2 linked regions of the Oreochromis niloticus genome follow. The protein of the gene in region 1 interacts with the protein of each later gene in a pairwise test. Links are inferred from orthologs where the notes say so. Each region holds a gene or a part of one and is shown on either strand. Other genes may lie near its edges. The genes, in order: sec16b and sec13.

Region 1 (7,931 bases):
TTTTCATTGCATAAATCATCATTTATATAATCAAATGGAGGGTCTACTGTGTTCATTTTTCGGCTCCATATGTTTGATATTGGACCTTACAATAGTAGGTTTTCATCATTTAAAGTTCATGATGATCCTTATTTTTCTTAGACTGAGCCTTGGTGCAGATCTTAAGTGAATCCAACATCTAAAACAAACTGTCCTACCTTTAAGCAAGCTATCTTCTGATTGGCTGCCCCTTGTAAACAGAAGGGTTTGAACAGCTGTGGTTGTAGCTGTAGCTGTGTTCCTGACATTAAAAAATTCATAGTAGGGATATCCACTCTCACTGACATTATGTAGAGCTGAGAGTAGAAAAATGTCCTGATATCGAGCATTTAAAGCAATTTGGAGCTTGAGCTTTTGGCTATGAGGGGTTGCTGACCTCATTAATTGAGAGTTTGACCTTGTTTTATATGCACGCCCACCACTGTAATTATATAGAAAATGTCTTATTGTAACAGCATGAATATTACTCCTTTGTCTGAATCACAAGTCACAGTGTTTAGACAAGTGGGTGAGTGAATCGGGTCACAGGCACAAACATTTTTGATTGTTCTAATTTGTTCCAATTTCTCAGCAAAGTTGTTTACATGCCCGTAAGCCATGAGTACCATGTTATGCAATAATCCCTACTTCGGTGAGCACCCTTTTATCTCCTGTCTCAGTCTTCTCAGGTGTGATGTTACATCCAAAATCAGGTCAGGCCATATTTGTTGGCCCACATTCATGTAATCTCCACTCGAGTCAGATGACTTACATGGCTGGCTTTTGTAGCAGCATCATTTGCAGTGATAGTGTTACCTGGTAATGAAGAAGCCCTGGGATAAGCCAATAATCCACTATCTCCAGTATCTCACCTACTTTTAGAAGCTCCTCCCTCAGTGTCAGGAAGGCCTTTCAGCGATCAAACCGATTTTCAGGAGGTGTCATGTCATACAGATCAGACTCTACTATTTCTGATATTGTTTCACAACCTAAAAAACCCCTTCAGATCTAAAAATTCTATGGTTGACGTTATCTACATGTACAGACCTCTATACAGTTTATCAGATTTGCAAACTTTTCTTGTTTATTGCAGTCAGTTTAACACAACCACAAACCATGCAGCTTCTGTCATACCCCACATTCCTCCTCAGTCTTCCAGTCCCTTTTTGACCCAGTTTTCCCTCCCCATCTGTTATCCCTCCACTTGAGAGGAATGTTGTCTTTGTGATATCCCTGCCTGCAAACTGACATCTCTTCATCGGGTCAGTCTCTGTGCGTACACTGCATGTTAATTACAAGAACTATTATTGTCGGTGGTCAGAGGGTATGCCTCTATTCATGTGGCTATTTTTAGGCATAAAGCTAAAGTACTGTACAGCTCTAGCAATAGACCTGAATAGCCCTGACTCATGCATCCTTTGTCTCGTGACCCTCTGTGTGGAAACCTTTGTCCTTTCTCACTCTGTGCAAGCACCAATAAGTTCTGGTTTTCTCGTTTTACAGCCTGAAAGGGGTCTTCAACAGTTTTTTTTTTTTCATGCCTCACTGCTATTTTTAATTCTCTCAGCAGTAAATTTAGCAGTGATTGCGTAAATGCAGAGGGGTGTGAAGAAGGAGCTGTCACAATGAGCCCAATCCCACTTAGATTCAACTACAATGGGAATTCTCCACCCCTTTGTGTAATAAGATCTCAAAGATGTGCAAAAGGTCAATATTTACTAGGGTTCCCATGCAGGAGTAAACTATTTCAAGAAACCTCATGCCTGCAGCATATTTCAAAGCCAGCTGATCTGGTCTGAAAAGACTTGTAATTGCCCAGTTTTCTGCCACAGGCTAGATTTTTTTTTTCTCAAGCTGGGAGACAAAGCCCAGATGAGGTGCACAACTCTAGTTCCTTCTCAGACCATGTGGATTACCAAAAACATGCTAGCTACTCCACTTCAGTCTTTCTTGTACACCCTCCTAAACAGGTTGGCTCTATGCTGAAATGCAAAAGACACAGGCTCCTTAAAAGCGAAAGCATATGCCAAGTAAATAATTAAACGTGTCACCTCCCTTGTGACATGCCACAACAAACTCCAACTCCGAATGTCGGGAAATTCATGCATGATTTTCTAAAAGTACACTGATGGAGTAGTTACTGACAAGGCAAAGCAAAACCCATCCGAGAACTGTTTTTTAAATGTTATTTTATTCAGCTTTTCAAGGCACAATCTTTTCAACTATGCACAATAAATATAACTCATTAAATTAATAACATAACAACAAGTTACCGGACAAACATTGTATTGTCCATAATAATAATAATAATAATAATAATAATGATAATAATAATGATAATAATAATGATAATCAACTGTGAAAACTTTCCCTTTTGAGTTATCAGAGTTATCAAAGTGACAAGTTTTTAAATAAGATTAATTAAATGTTCTCTTGAAGAAATGCTGAGTCAATTTGGTCAAATTTTCATGAGAAGTTTCTCAAGCTGACAGATGACTGATCCACTCTGGTGTGGTCCAGTTCCTGGAGTCTTGTCAGCTGAGACACTCTGTCGGCTTTTCCCCAGTCCATGCGCCTGTGCTCGGCACCACGTGTGCTCCATGCTCACATGATTCCGTTTCCTCGAAAAGGATTCTTTCTCGGCAGAGAAAGGCGCAGTCATACGTTAGAAAATCCGGGAACCCAGACAGCTGAGTCACTCTTCCTTGGCCCACAAGTTCACCCTGACCTGGTAAATTTGTTGGAACGCTCTTTTTTTCCCCTTCCTTCCCCTAACTCTCCAGTCGCTCTCTCTCCACCTCTCTCTCTCTGGGGCGCTTTCCAATCAAGTCCAACACAGACATTAACACAGGCCTTAGGCAGTTACTTTTTCCCCAATGCACACAATACATTAATATTCCAAGCAGCTTCATCGGTCAGGAAGGTTGATAACAGGCACCCACTGATCCAAACACCGGCAGTCTCTGCAGAATCTGTTCAACTTGCTCAGTGCAGGGTCCTTCCACGGGGATGACTGAGGATTCTGCACAGGAAAGGGCAAAGCGGTTACCATCTGTTCATTTACGAAACGTGCAAATAATAATTCAGATTGCATAACTGATGCCAACTCCCTCTAAGTGCTGACAGCAGAAACGAGAAGCAATAAACCCCAGGTACATTTGATTGCTCAAAGGGAAATGAGCAATATTCCCAAGGTTTAAACTAAACGGACGTGAGTAATAGTACTTACAGTAACTAGAACACAGTGTAAGTCCATTGGCTCTCCTCCAGGCTTCACTCCGCCGAGTATCTCTGCCAGACGCCTCATGTTGCTCACACGCAGGATGTTGATGTCATTCTCGCAGCAGAAAGCCTGTATCAAGGTAAAGTGAATCTGCAGAGCCACATCCTCCTCATCATCTGTGGCCAGTAGACACAACACCACATTGTCTGGATCCCTAAAAGCAATGAGGAAAAAGTAAAGCAAACATTACTACTTCATGCTCATCCCAGCTAGTTTTTCTAGTGCGGCAGTAGCGAGCTTACTATTAACTTACACATTAAGTGACTTCGCTGCTTCATAAACTCCGACAGTGATGCAACCCTGAGGCAACGCAGAGCTCAGGACCTCCTCTAACGCTGTAGCCACCGAGTCCATTCTAAAGAAACAAAAGTTTATCAGAACACGCATGATCAGTGAGGCTGTTAGTTTAAGCTTTGATGACCCAATTTTCCAGCTACCGCCGTTCACGTGATATATGAATGCCAGCTCATGTAACGTTGCATGTGTGATACAAATGCAAGAACCGCGAGAGGGCTCAATATAATAGGGCTGAATGTCGGTCACAACGGGCAGTGTGCAATTATATCTGCAAACCAATAATTCTAACAAAAAGTTTCTAAATTCGTATTAAAAACAGAATTAAATTAAAGGAAAATGCAGAGTTCAACGCAAAGCTAACCTTTCTGTTGAATTATCTCCACTGGTATCTTCAAAAGTCATATTGCACATCCAACCGGGTCTTGGTATAATATCCAGAGCGGAATCTGTGCGTCCTCTGTTGTCTAGTGAGACTCTCGCTGTGCTCTGAGCGTCCGGGTTCCAGTAGTAAAAATCCTGTGTACGCAGAACTCATTTGCATAAAGCCTACCCAGTTGTGGATGACTGGTCACATGATTCACATTGAACCTGTTCTTAGAAGAAAGCGACATCCCGTGGCCATAACTGAACAATGACTAATATGAGAATAATCAGAACTAGTTTCTGGAAATATACTAAAACCAATTCGTCAGTAATCACGAGGCATTTTCGGAATTACAGCAACATTTTATTTCACTTCCACACAGTGTAAGAAAGTAACATGTCATAGCTTCTATGAAAATTTGCCAAAAAAAAAAAAAAAAATCCCCAGTAAATATTCATTTTAACAAATAGACCCCAAATGCATTTATGTGATTTTACAAATACAGATTCAAAACATTAACATTTAGTGATTTCGTTTTACGGTGCAAAGTAGTTTCTGGCTTCAATATTAAAATGTCCAAAAATCTTACAATGTTTTCTTGAACATGACAGTAAGTTCACCGCACTTAAATGACCACCACAGTCACCAGATCTCAATCAAACAGATCGGATGTGATAGAGCGCAAGATTCACGTCATGGATGTGCAGCCTACACATCTGCAGCACCATGTGATAGAAGATGTAAATATATGACTCGAGTGAAAGGAAATGTGGGATATAGCGCCTTTGCTGGTAAGTAAGGCGTACTTTTTTAAAACTCTGAAAAAACGTTGGGCTGTGACGCTTTCGCTGTCTCGAAAACTAAATCTGATCGGAGACCAGCTGACCGTCATCTGCATCCTGCCTACCGGCAACGTGGCAAGATCTAACATTTCAAAGTTGCGCTTTTTTCTGCACATGCAACCTACAGTCGAAGGCACGGTTTGTCATGTTGTGCTGACGTAGACCAGAAGGTCAGTATAGTTTTTGTTGCGATTATCCCGAGGATGGACGTGATTTCCTCTTTTACAGCGCCCTGGAACTGCAGCTGTCAAACTCTTCAGGGCGTGCTCCACTGTTTACCTTCAGATCACTGAGATACACAATGCAAACACAACGGAGCTCAAGGAATGTGCACTTATGTGTGATTTTTAATCCGTTTAATATGTAATTATCCTATGCATATATATGTGTGTGTATATATTCCTCGCACTTGGATTTACTCCGATTTCACCTCCAGAGCACCGAGACAACATTTTTTATGAGTCACAGTATTTTGTGAACTTTATCCTCTTGTTATCAGCTCATGTTGTGAGTTTCCCATGGAGTGATGTGGCATTTGTGGATGTACTTTGACTGCGGCTGGGATGTGTGAGCTGTAAGTATAACAAACGTTTGCAACTTTCTTTCTGCTGATTTTACTTTACACTGCGAATTAATGATTGCAGACATTTCCCATTTTTTTTTTTACCGCAGGTGTTAAAGGGTCATCATGGATCACAGAGGTCACTACTGGCTGGACTCAGGCCGTCATTCCCACAGAACAAAAGACAGAGAGGGATACACCAGCTACTCTCAGCAGGAAAGGGACCAGCTCTATCCACCTCCGGACCTCAGAGAGAGGGACAGGCACTGGGGCCATCCTGATGCCCATTACAATGCTCATTTCCCTCTGCCTAGACCTGACTTTTATCCATACACCAGTCAGCAGTATCAGTATGGGTATGGACCTGAGCACCAAAGACCTCTGTCCAGGTTTGTACAGTTGCAAGTGACCCCAACTGGCTACGAAACTGGAGTTATTATTTGGGTATTATTAGTGTGTTTTATGAATGCAATGTGGGATAAAGGTTGCACAACAGTTGGTAAAAGAGGCCTGGTTCCAACACTGAGCTGAGTGTAGGTTTCTGTCCTTGCTAACAGTGCATGCTGGGATATGCAGTGCATCACAGATGATGGAATTACACAAATGTAATAACTTCATTAAGATTTTCCTTTATTTTCAGGCATGGTTATGACTATCCACCTTACAGCCACTGGGACTACAGAGACAGCTATGGTTATTATGACTACTACAGAGGGCAGCATGGACGACAAGGTGTAGTGATACAAAACAGCCAAGCTTTTTTTTTTAAAGTCATCTTCTACGCTCTGTATAAGAGAAATGGGATGATGTGTAACGCTGTTTTTTAAGATGGTGGCCAGTGGGGTCCTCAAGAACCACGGAGAGCAGATCGGTACCATGACAGGGCACACAACCAAGAACAACTAGGAAGCGTGAACACTGAGGAGTACAGGTGGGTCAGTGCACTCTACTTCTATCAAAGCCAATGCCTTTGCTATCTGATGTTACTGTGAAAATGATACCTGCACAAAAGAGAGAGGTACATCCAGAAATGTTGACAGGTTAAACGGTTCTCTAGCACTACATAGTTTGTATGAAGGGTTTAATAAAAACAAAAAAAACCCAAAATAATAAAAAGCAAAAGAAAACCTATAATGTTGGGGTTGGATATTACAGGTTTCAGTATAATATGTTGTGGTGATAGATGGTCACTCTTGATCAATATTGTGGGTGTAGAAATAAGCTAGAGGAGAATGTGTACACAAGAATTCAACAAACAGGCAAGTATAAACGATTAATGCCTAAATATTTATTAAAAAACAAACATACTTCCTGCATTACAGTCTGTCTAATAATCACTGCAAATTCTGTGAGCAAGAAAGTTACACGAATACAGCATAGACTTAACTGCTATGTGTTCTTGCAGTAAAGAAGGAAGCAATGTACATGAAAATGCATTTCTTTCAGGTACAACCAGGTGAGAGACAGCTCTCAGCATTACCTCAATGACTCTGAGGACAATCCCTCCAGAGACAATGAAGAGATTTCCTCTTTTTACCTTGGGACATTAGAAAGCTCCAAAAACTCAGGGTTATCTTCCAGCAGCTATGAGCTGAGTCAGTACATGAATGGAGCCGAACACAGCGACGCTGCCCCTCAACCTGATGGAGGTGAGCACGCAGTTCCTCTCACGTCCACATCGTCTCTGCTTTTTTTTTTTAAAGCTTTGTATTTCCTCAGACCGAGCACATGTGCATCAGATGCCAGCTCCTCTGAAGTACTCAATCCCTCATGCTGTTGTCAGTTTTGGGCCTGCGGGTCAACTGATTCGGGTCACTACAGGCTTGTCAGCACAGGAGAATGTCAGCCACCTGGAAATCCACAGTCTGGAGGTAGGTTCACAGTCAAGTTGTTTAAAAAAAGCAACAGATTTTCATGGAGGATACTACTAATCTTTTACCTTATGAAAATTATAGCACTCTCATGGACCTTAAGGGTCCTAAAGGTATACTATAGTCAGACTAACAGGATGGATTTGGGTCTGTTGGAAAGGATTTCACAAAATCCCCTCGACTTTCACCTTGTAAGAATCCTGTCATTGTAAAGTTTAGAGGTATTTCTTTTGGGAATATATATGAGCCACTTCAGAGCCATCTGTCTTCAAATACTTATATAAGGCTAACACCTCAAACTAGGACAGAACAATAGTAATTATTTTGCTCATGTCAGGGATAATTAAGCCATTAATATTATTATTTCATGCATTTTCATTTGTTTAGTTTAGTTTCACTTTATTAAAGAAACACACGGGTCCATAACAAATAAAATCAATAAATACATACAGAATACATTATTTTTTTCTGTTGTTGCTTTGTATTCCCCTGAAACATGTAACACACATCAGTATGTATAATGGTTTCTTGGAAACCTAAAAACTCTGTGAGTTTGAAAGCATTTATGTCACAGAGTAGTTAGGGTTATTAATTGGTGAATATTGATTTAATGAAGTCTTTGCTGCACAATTTTTTTTAGTTTTAAGTCAATAAAAAAGAAATACACTGTAATAATGTTTTCCACTACTCAGCA
Region 2 (7,789 bases), on another chromosome or scaffold:
GTGAGCGCTCACCTGAGGATGTGAGTGGCAGCTCAGCGATCACAGTCTTCAGTCCCATGCTGGAAATGTCCCTCAGCTGCTCTTTGTCTGACGTCATGTTTGAACACAGCACGTCCACCATCGTCTCCACCTGGGGCTCCTTCACTTTGCTCACCAGAGGCGCCAGGCTTAAAAACAAACACACCATGTTAAAAAATGTCGTAATTTTGTATCAAACCACTATTGATTTAAATAATTATGTAATAGAAATATGACCTGTAGTATCTAACCATGCACTTAACTGCAAACACAAATAGGTGGCTACCTAACACACACAGCCTGCTACACAGACACCATCAATACTTCCAGTCCAGCATAAATGAAGGTACCACTCTCATTTTAGTGCATTACCACTCTTATCTTTATTTAATTCAACTTCAATTCAGTTCAATTCTATTTTATTTATACAGCGCCAAATCACAACAACAGTCACCTCAAGGTGCTTTATAGTGTAAGGTAGACCCTACAATAATACATACAGAGAAAAACCCAACAATCACATGACCCCCTATGATCAAGCACTTTGGTAATAGTGGGAGGCTCCCCACGCTGAACTTTGATATAATGTTGTGACTTTCCATTACCTTTATTCAACAGACAAAAGTCACCAGAAACAGACTCTCAAGTAAATGGGAGTAGATGATACAGCAAAACTTAAAATAGTCTATAACTCAAGGGTTAGGTAAAAATGCAGCCCTCTGGTGGTTAAACTTAGCTAACCCTTCCACAGAGGATAGTTACAAAGAGCACCTTTGTAGGAATCCAAAAATAAATCTGGATAAATAAAATACAGTTTACATGAACTAAACCGGTTCACACTGTGCGTACGAGTGTGATTTTTACCATTTCACAGCCAGGTTCTGCACCTCCCCATTCTTGTCTTCCAGCAGTTTGAGCAGCATGGTCACAACTCTTCTCTCGCTGTCCTCGTCCAGCTTAATGCTGTCCTTCTGCAGCTCCAGCATCAGGTCATTGGTGGCCATGAACCTGCACGCACACACACACACACACATAGAGACCAAAGTTAATAAACTGATCTGTGAATCCCTTCAGTGATCCTTCTTTTCATTACTGCCTCAAAAAAGGGTCAAATAATGAATTAAGTGTATCGATTTGTTTAGATGTCTATTTATTCTTTAATTATTAATCCAGATTTTCAATTGTAACATTTAATTAGATGCTTTTTTCGCCACTTCTGTTACAATTGTGGTCTTTCAGTAAAGATGTGCACATTACTTGTCCAATAAATATTTAACTCATCAATTCAATGACAACAAGGAGAAAGGTAGAGGTTGGTATATTAAGTAATTCAAATCTATACTTGTGTTGTTGTTGGCTTATAGATGTGTTAATAACACTCAAAGAGTTATCAAAACATGTAAAACAGTTGCAGAATATACTTTCCTTGGTCACACATGACAGTAAACCCAATATGTGTTGTGTTAAAAACATCTCCAAAGATATTTTGCAATGTATTAAAAGATTTTTAAGACAAAATAAAACAATAACAAAAATCTCCAACATTCTTGAACCTACTGCTATCTACCTGGACAACAACGACTCACTTTCTCAAAATATAAAACAATTTAGATCATGAATTTATCATGTTAGCAAAAAATCCCTACTTCCAATTTCTGAAATTGAGTATTTGATGCTTTAAAAAAATCACAGCCGACACAGGGTTAGGGTTAGACAGATATTTACAAACATATTTTGATAATGATTAAATTAGTCAATAATATTAATATAACATTTGGAGTTTTTTATGAAAACGTAACCTTGGTTAGGTAAATTTGTTAAAATTGATTTTTGTTTTCAGGTAGAGAAAACTAATAAATGATGTGTCGATTAAATAAAAGTAATTAAGACTGTATAGAGGGCACTATTGTCTCCTGTGTGGTAAAATGGCACACACAAGTCGTGGTTTTAAAAAAGTGTCATCTCACTGTGAGAACTGCTCACTGTTTCTTACCTGAAGTCTTTGTCAGTGGAGGTCATTTTCTCCAACAGGTTGGAGATGTGGTAGGACACACTCGACATCTTTCCACTGTTTAGTCACTCAGGCTGAGAAAAAGTTTTTTTTCTACGGTAAACTCAGAAAACTTGCCACCAGATTTAAGCCGACAACATGGCGAGGCTAGGGGGGGCAGAGAGGAGAGCTGACGGCCCGATGGAACCCGACACTCGGCGTGCCCGGACAAAAATAGACGGCAGGGGACAGTGGTTCAGCTTTGTGGCGCCGCCGTGTGGACACACGGAGTCCGACCGGCCATACGGAGGCGGTAATGTGCCGATAAACCGAGTTTCAAGTCTTATTTTTACGTTAATTTGCCGAAAAAAACGCCGACGGTTATCGGTTAGTATTAACCGTTTGGAATTTGATCCCACCTTTATTGATAAACAAATTCAACAACAATTACAGTACCCGTTTAGATTTTTTTCTCCTCAACTTTATTGATAACTAACACATGCAGCAAAAGTTTGGGTTAACTGTGTTCTTCACCTTTCCTGGCAACGATAATAATAAAAATAATAATAATTATTATTATTATTATTATTAGTAGTAGTAGTATTATCATTATTATTCAAAAACAGAGTCATTTGACAAAAAAAGACAAACTTAGGACAAGAAACAGACCATATTTAATGAAAGAGATATTTGTATATTATACATACAGTTAAGCCCATAATTATTCATACCCCTGGCAAATTTTGACTTAAAATTACTTTTATTCAACCAGCAAGTTATTTTTTGACTGGAAATGACACAGGCGTATCACAAAAGATAATAAGATGATGTACAAGACGCATCATTGTGGAAAAAAATATTTCTCAGCTTTTATTTACATTTGAGCAAAAAGTATCATGTCCAGAATTATTCATACCCTTTACAAACTGTCACAGTCTCTGGGAAAATCCAAAGTTCCATACCATTCCAAATAGTCAAAGCTGTTCTAAAGCATCCTAATTACCCTGATTAATTGGAAATAGCTGTTTTACTCAACTCAACAGGTGAAAAACAGCAGCTCTCTGCAGGTGGTCTGTGGACATTCATGGCTAAGACAAAGGAACTCAGTGAGGACCTGCAGCTGTGCATTGTGGCTGCTCACAAGTGAGGAATGGGCTACAAGGCCATGTCCAAATGTTTTCAAGTTCCAGTGGCTACAGTGCAAAGTATTATTAAAAAATACAAGATGTTCCGCACTGTGGAAAATCTCAGAGGACGTTGTCGGAAGCCAAAAGTGAAACCTGTGCTGGCCAGGAGGATAGTGAGAGAGGTGAAAAAGAATCCAAGGATCACCACCAAGGCCATTCTGGTGAATCTGGGCTCTGCTGGTGGCAATGTCTCAAGGCAGACAGTCCAACGGACACTGTTGGGTTCCACGGATGCAGACCAAGGAAAACGCCACTTCTCCAGGCACTTCTAAGGCATGCCAAAGCTCGTTTGGCCTTTGCAAATGCTCATCTGGACAAAGAAGAAGGTTTCTGGTCTTCAGTGTTATGGTCAGATGAAACAAAAATTGAATTATTTGGTCACAATGATGTTGCCTTCATTTGGCATAAAAAAGGAGAAGCCTTCAACCCACAGAACACCATCCCCACTGTCAAACATGGTGGTGGGAACCTAATGCTTTGGGGGTGTTTTTTAGCCAATGGACCATGGAACCTAATCACAGTAAACAGCACCATGAAAAAAGAGCAATACATGAAGATTCTCAACAACAACATCAGGCAGTCTGCAGAAAAACTTGGCCTTGGGAACCAGTGGACATTTCAGCACGACAATGACCCAAAACATACAGCAAACATGGTGAAGAAATGGTTAGCAGACACCAACATTAACGTTTTGCAGTGGCCTAGCCAGAGTCCTGACTTGAATCCAATTCAGAATCTGTGGAGGGAGCTAAAGATCAGGGTGATGGCAAGAAGACCGTCCAACCTGAAAGATTTGGAGCTCATTGCTAAAGATGAATGGGCAAAAATGCCTGTGGAGACATGCAGAAAGCGGGTCTGCAATTATAGGAAGCGTTTGATTGCTGTAATAGCCAATAAAAACTTTTCTATTGATTATTGAGAAGGGTATGAATAATTCTGGACATGATACTTTTTGCTAAAATATAAATAAAACCTGAGAAATATTTTTTTCCACAATGATGCCTCTTGTACATCGTCTTATTATCTTTGGGGAGACACCTGTGTCATTTCTGCTCAAAAAAGAACTTGCTTGTTGAACAAAAGTAACTTTAAGCCAAAATTTGGCAGGGGTATGAATAATTATGGGCTTAACTGTATATATATATATATATATATATATATATATATATATATATATATATATATATATATATATATATATATATATATATATATATATGTATATACATATATATATATGTATTTGTATGTTCCATTCCATTCAAAAGGAGAAAATGTAACTTTTTGAAATGTTTTCACTAATCTAGGAGGGATCGGATTTTAATTTATTTAGAATGTGTTCATATTTAGCTTCTAAATAAGGTTAAGGTTAGCTCGTCAGACGCTTATGCGGAACCCTTGTTTACTGGTTGTTATTTCCGCCGGTATGATGTGCGGTGGGACTCGGTGGGAAACGGTTATCTTACTTGTTGCCACGTCGGAGTAGTCGGTGAAGCCGGGTTTCTTTTTTCTTATAAAGGAGGATTACTCGTGTTGTTCGGGGTTTCTGTGTCAGTCACGGTCATGGTGAGTTTGATAACTTTGCATTTAGGCCACCGGTGAAGCTGCTCGCTGACGTTTGTGGCATTTTCCCGGTTACCGTTAGCTGCTGACGTGCCCAAGTCCTAGTAGCTCCTTAGCAAAGTGGCTAGTAGTAGCAGGAAAATCAATGAACATTTTAATTAATGTGCAGTATTTGTGATTATATAATGTTTGTTCATTTCAGGTTTCCGTCATTAACACCGTGGACACCTCTCATGAGGACATGATTGTAAGTTTTCCAGTTTTTTTCCCCTTTTTTATTTAACCCAAACTAGTTGCTAATCACAGCTGATGTTAGCCTTCTTGTTTTAAATACCTGTAAGTGAGCTTTTACGCGTGATAACTAGAGATACAAACATGTGTACAATGAAACGTCAGTAAGTATTATCACTGTAACGTGTCATCCATTGTCTTTAAACCCAGTTGTAACAAACTAACATTGCTGCGATCTGACACTGCTAGCTGATCATCAGAGACTGATACTGTTCTTTTAGGATCATTGTCCTAATTCATGACCCTCTTTCAGTTTTAGCTCTCGGACTGATGACTTCACATTTGACTCTAGAATAAAAAATATCTGGGGGTTTTCTTGGATAACAAAATTAGATTTGAGAAACAAATTTATTCAGTTGTTCAGCGGTCCTTTTAAAAAAAAAAAAAAAAATTAAGGCTCTTATTCGAGGTGAGATTATTTTTATCCTTTAAAAACTTGGAAGGAGCAATCTATGCGTTTGCCTTATTTCAACTGGATTACTGTAATTCGCTTTATGTTGGTGTCAGTCAGTCCAGTTTGGCACGGCTCCAATTTGTACAAAATGCTGCAGCCTGTCTTTTGACTCGTGTGAAGAGACACCAACATTTTACCCTGGTGCTTGCTTCCCTTCATTGGCTTCCAGTGCAAAATGAAAATTAAATTTAAAATCTTACTTTTGACTTAATAAGTGCTAAATTGTCAGGCACCAGACTATTTGTCTGACCTTTTGCAGCTTTATATGTCCTCTAGAGGCCTTTGATCAAGTGATCATTTACTCCTTACCTTACACAAGTCTAGGATGGTTCATAGAGGGAATTGGGCATTTGTGGTTGTGGCATCGAAAACGTGGAACGATCTACCTCTCCACATTAGAAAGGCCCCAACTGTCAGTCTTTTTAAATCCCATCTTAAAACATATTTTTTCGCTTTGGCTTTTTATACTGCATGAGAGTCACCAATTCTTTTTATCCTAATTTTCTTTTAATTTTCTTACCTGTTGTTGATGTTAATGCCACTGTTTAATTATTACGTTGTACAGCACTTTGGTCAACTCTCTGTTGTTATTAAATGTGCTTTATAAATAAATAAATAATAAATAGAATACTTTGGTATACAGAGGAGTTTATGGTCGACTTGTAACTGCAGGGTTTCCATGTGCAGTGGCTGCACAGCAAGCCCAAATCGGCACCTCTTAACCATTTTGCTGAGTTTGGTTTTCACCAGACTTCTACACCTGATCTTGTCTGTCCAAAGAACATTATCCCAGAAGTGCTACCATGTTCTTTAGGGAGAGATGAGGCTTTTTCCAAGCAAACCAGACTTGTTCAGTTGTGCTCTCTTGTGCATTTAACCGATGTTGGCCGATACATGTAGCGTCTCATAGAAACAATAGGGTGTACTAAGTTTATTTTAAAGATCTACTTAAAGTTTTTTTTAAACTGACTTTTTTTCACATGACTTTATATGTCACTATGTTTCATAAAGTCCAGACTACTATACTAAATTACATATAAAAGAACATTTGAGTTGATTAAATTAACAATAAAACCAGGATTGTCAGTGGGTGACGACACACAGCAGAACATCATCAGCCCACTCTGAACCTGTTTTGTGTTAATTCACACAAACAGTGATTTTCACTGTTGTTTGTGATCATTAAGTCATACATGATAAAGCACATTGAGCTGAGCTCCATCTTTGGCAAAGGCTATTAAAATAATAATTTCAGAAACAAATCATTAACAACTTGCCACTGATACCCTGTGACTGTTGCCACAGATACATTTGAACTTGACTTAGCTTTACTTTTGTGCAGGTTATAAACTGTAACCTGTACATTTGCTGTAGGACTTTTGTGTTTTACACATGTTTATCTGAAGTAACACCTCAAAAACATGAAAGGGACACAATAACATTAACTAACTGAAGAGGGCAGTGGTAGACCAACATGTTCAATGAGGTAACGACACTGTTTGTGTCAAAGCCGGTTTTGAATACAGTACATTCATAGATATGGCTTCATTTCCCTGTTGGAAAGGACAGTCCGGCTGCTTTTGGCTGCTGACTACAGCCACTGAAAGCACATTATTTAGATTTAAGGCTGATTCTCCAGCAAAAGAAGATGTGCAAAAGCTCCTCAGTATCCGAACTATCCCTTTTAAGAGAATAAAGTATTTTCTTTTGACTAAATCATTGTTGCAGCATTTATCCTTTTTATTTTCTGTTAGATGATGTTTAAACTGAACAATCACCATGAGAATGAAAATATTAATAAAATATAAAATAATAAAATATTGTTTAAATTGAAAGGTAGAGGTGGAGGTTCTCACTCAGGTTTTTACATTTTGCTCTGTCTGTTTCAGCACGATGCCCAGATGGACTACTACGGGACTCGGCTCGCCACCTGTTCTTCTGACCGCACCGTCAAGATCTTTGACGTCAGAAACGGAGGGCAGATCCTTGTGGCAGACCTCAGAGGGTAAGAAGTAGGGCTGGCTCATATCTAGGGGTGCAACAATACTCGCATCTATAATGAACCGTTCGATACAGTGCTTTCGGTTCGGTTCGCATATGTATCGAACAATAGAACATTTTTTATTTATTTTATCAACTTTTCTTTTGATGATGCTGTCTGTGTTGAGCGCTCAGTGGATTTGCACTGTTGAGTGCAGATCCACTGAGCGCAGCGGAAGCTAGCAAGACAGAAGCTAAGTTCGTTGCAACATGGCAACTGCCTCAAAGCTCCCCGAAATTGAACCT

What was found.
Region 2: the proteins of sec16b (region 1) and sec13 interact in binary tests that used the Homo sapiens proteins (3 or more experiments, as listed by UniProt). The two-hybrid records come from large-scale screens. The link is inferred for Oreochromis niloticus from reciprocal best matches to the Homo sapiens genes SEC16B and SEC13.

What each region holds. Positions count from the first base shown.
Region 1 is NC_031986.2:31,135,511-31,143,441, reverse strand, and holds the start of sec16b (protein transport protein Sec16B), read left to right. Parts: upstream 1-4,825; 5' UTR 4,826-5,378; intron 5,379-5,448; exon of another isoform or gene 5,449-5,476; 5' UTR 5,477-5,492; coding exon 5,493-5,755; intron 5,756-6,006; coding exon 6,007-6,098; intron 6,099-6,194; coding exon 6,195-6,297; intron 6,298-6,812; coding exon 6,813-7,015; intron 7,016-7,085; coding exon 7,086-7,237; intron 7,238-7,931. Other genes in the region: gadd45ab (growth arrest and DNA-damage-inducible, alpha, b), read right to left, coding at 2,927-3,040, 3,248-3,455, 3,555-3,656, 3,960-4,009. UniProt on the Homo sapiens protein: Plays a role in the organization of the endoplasmic reticulum exit sites (ERES), also known as transitional endoplasmic reticulum (tER). Required for secretory cargo traffic from the endoplasmic reticulum to the Golgi apparatus.
Region 2 is NC_031970.2:4,864,295-4,872,083, forward strand, and holds the start of sec13 (protein SEC13 homolog), read left to right. Parts: upstream 1-4,545; 5' UTR 4,546-4,758; coding exon 4,759-4,761; intron 4,762-4,960; coding exon 4,961-5,005; intron 5,006-7,392; coding exon 7,393-7,508; intron 7,509-7,789. Other genes in the region: cand2 (cullin-associated NEDD8-dissociated protein 2), read right to left, coding at 13-167, 883-1,026, 2,012-2,079. UniProt on the Homo sapiens protein: Functions as a component of the nuclear pore complex (NPC) and the COPII coat. At the endoplasmic reticulum, SEC13 is involved in the biogenesis of COPII-coated vesicles.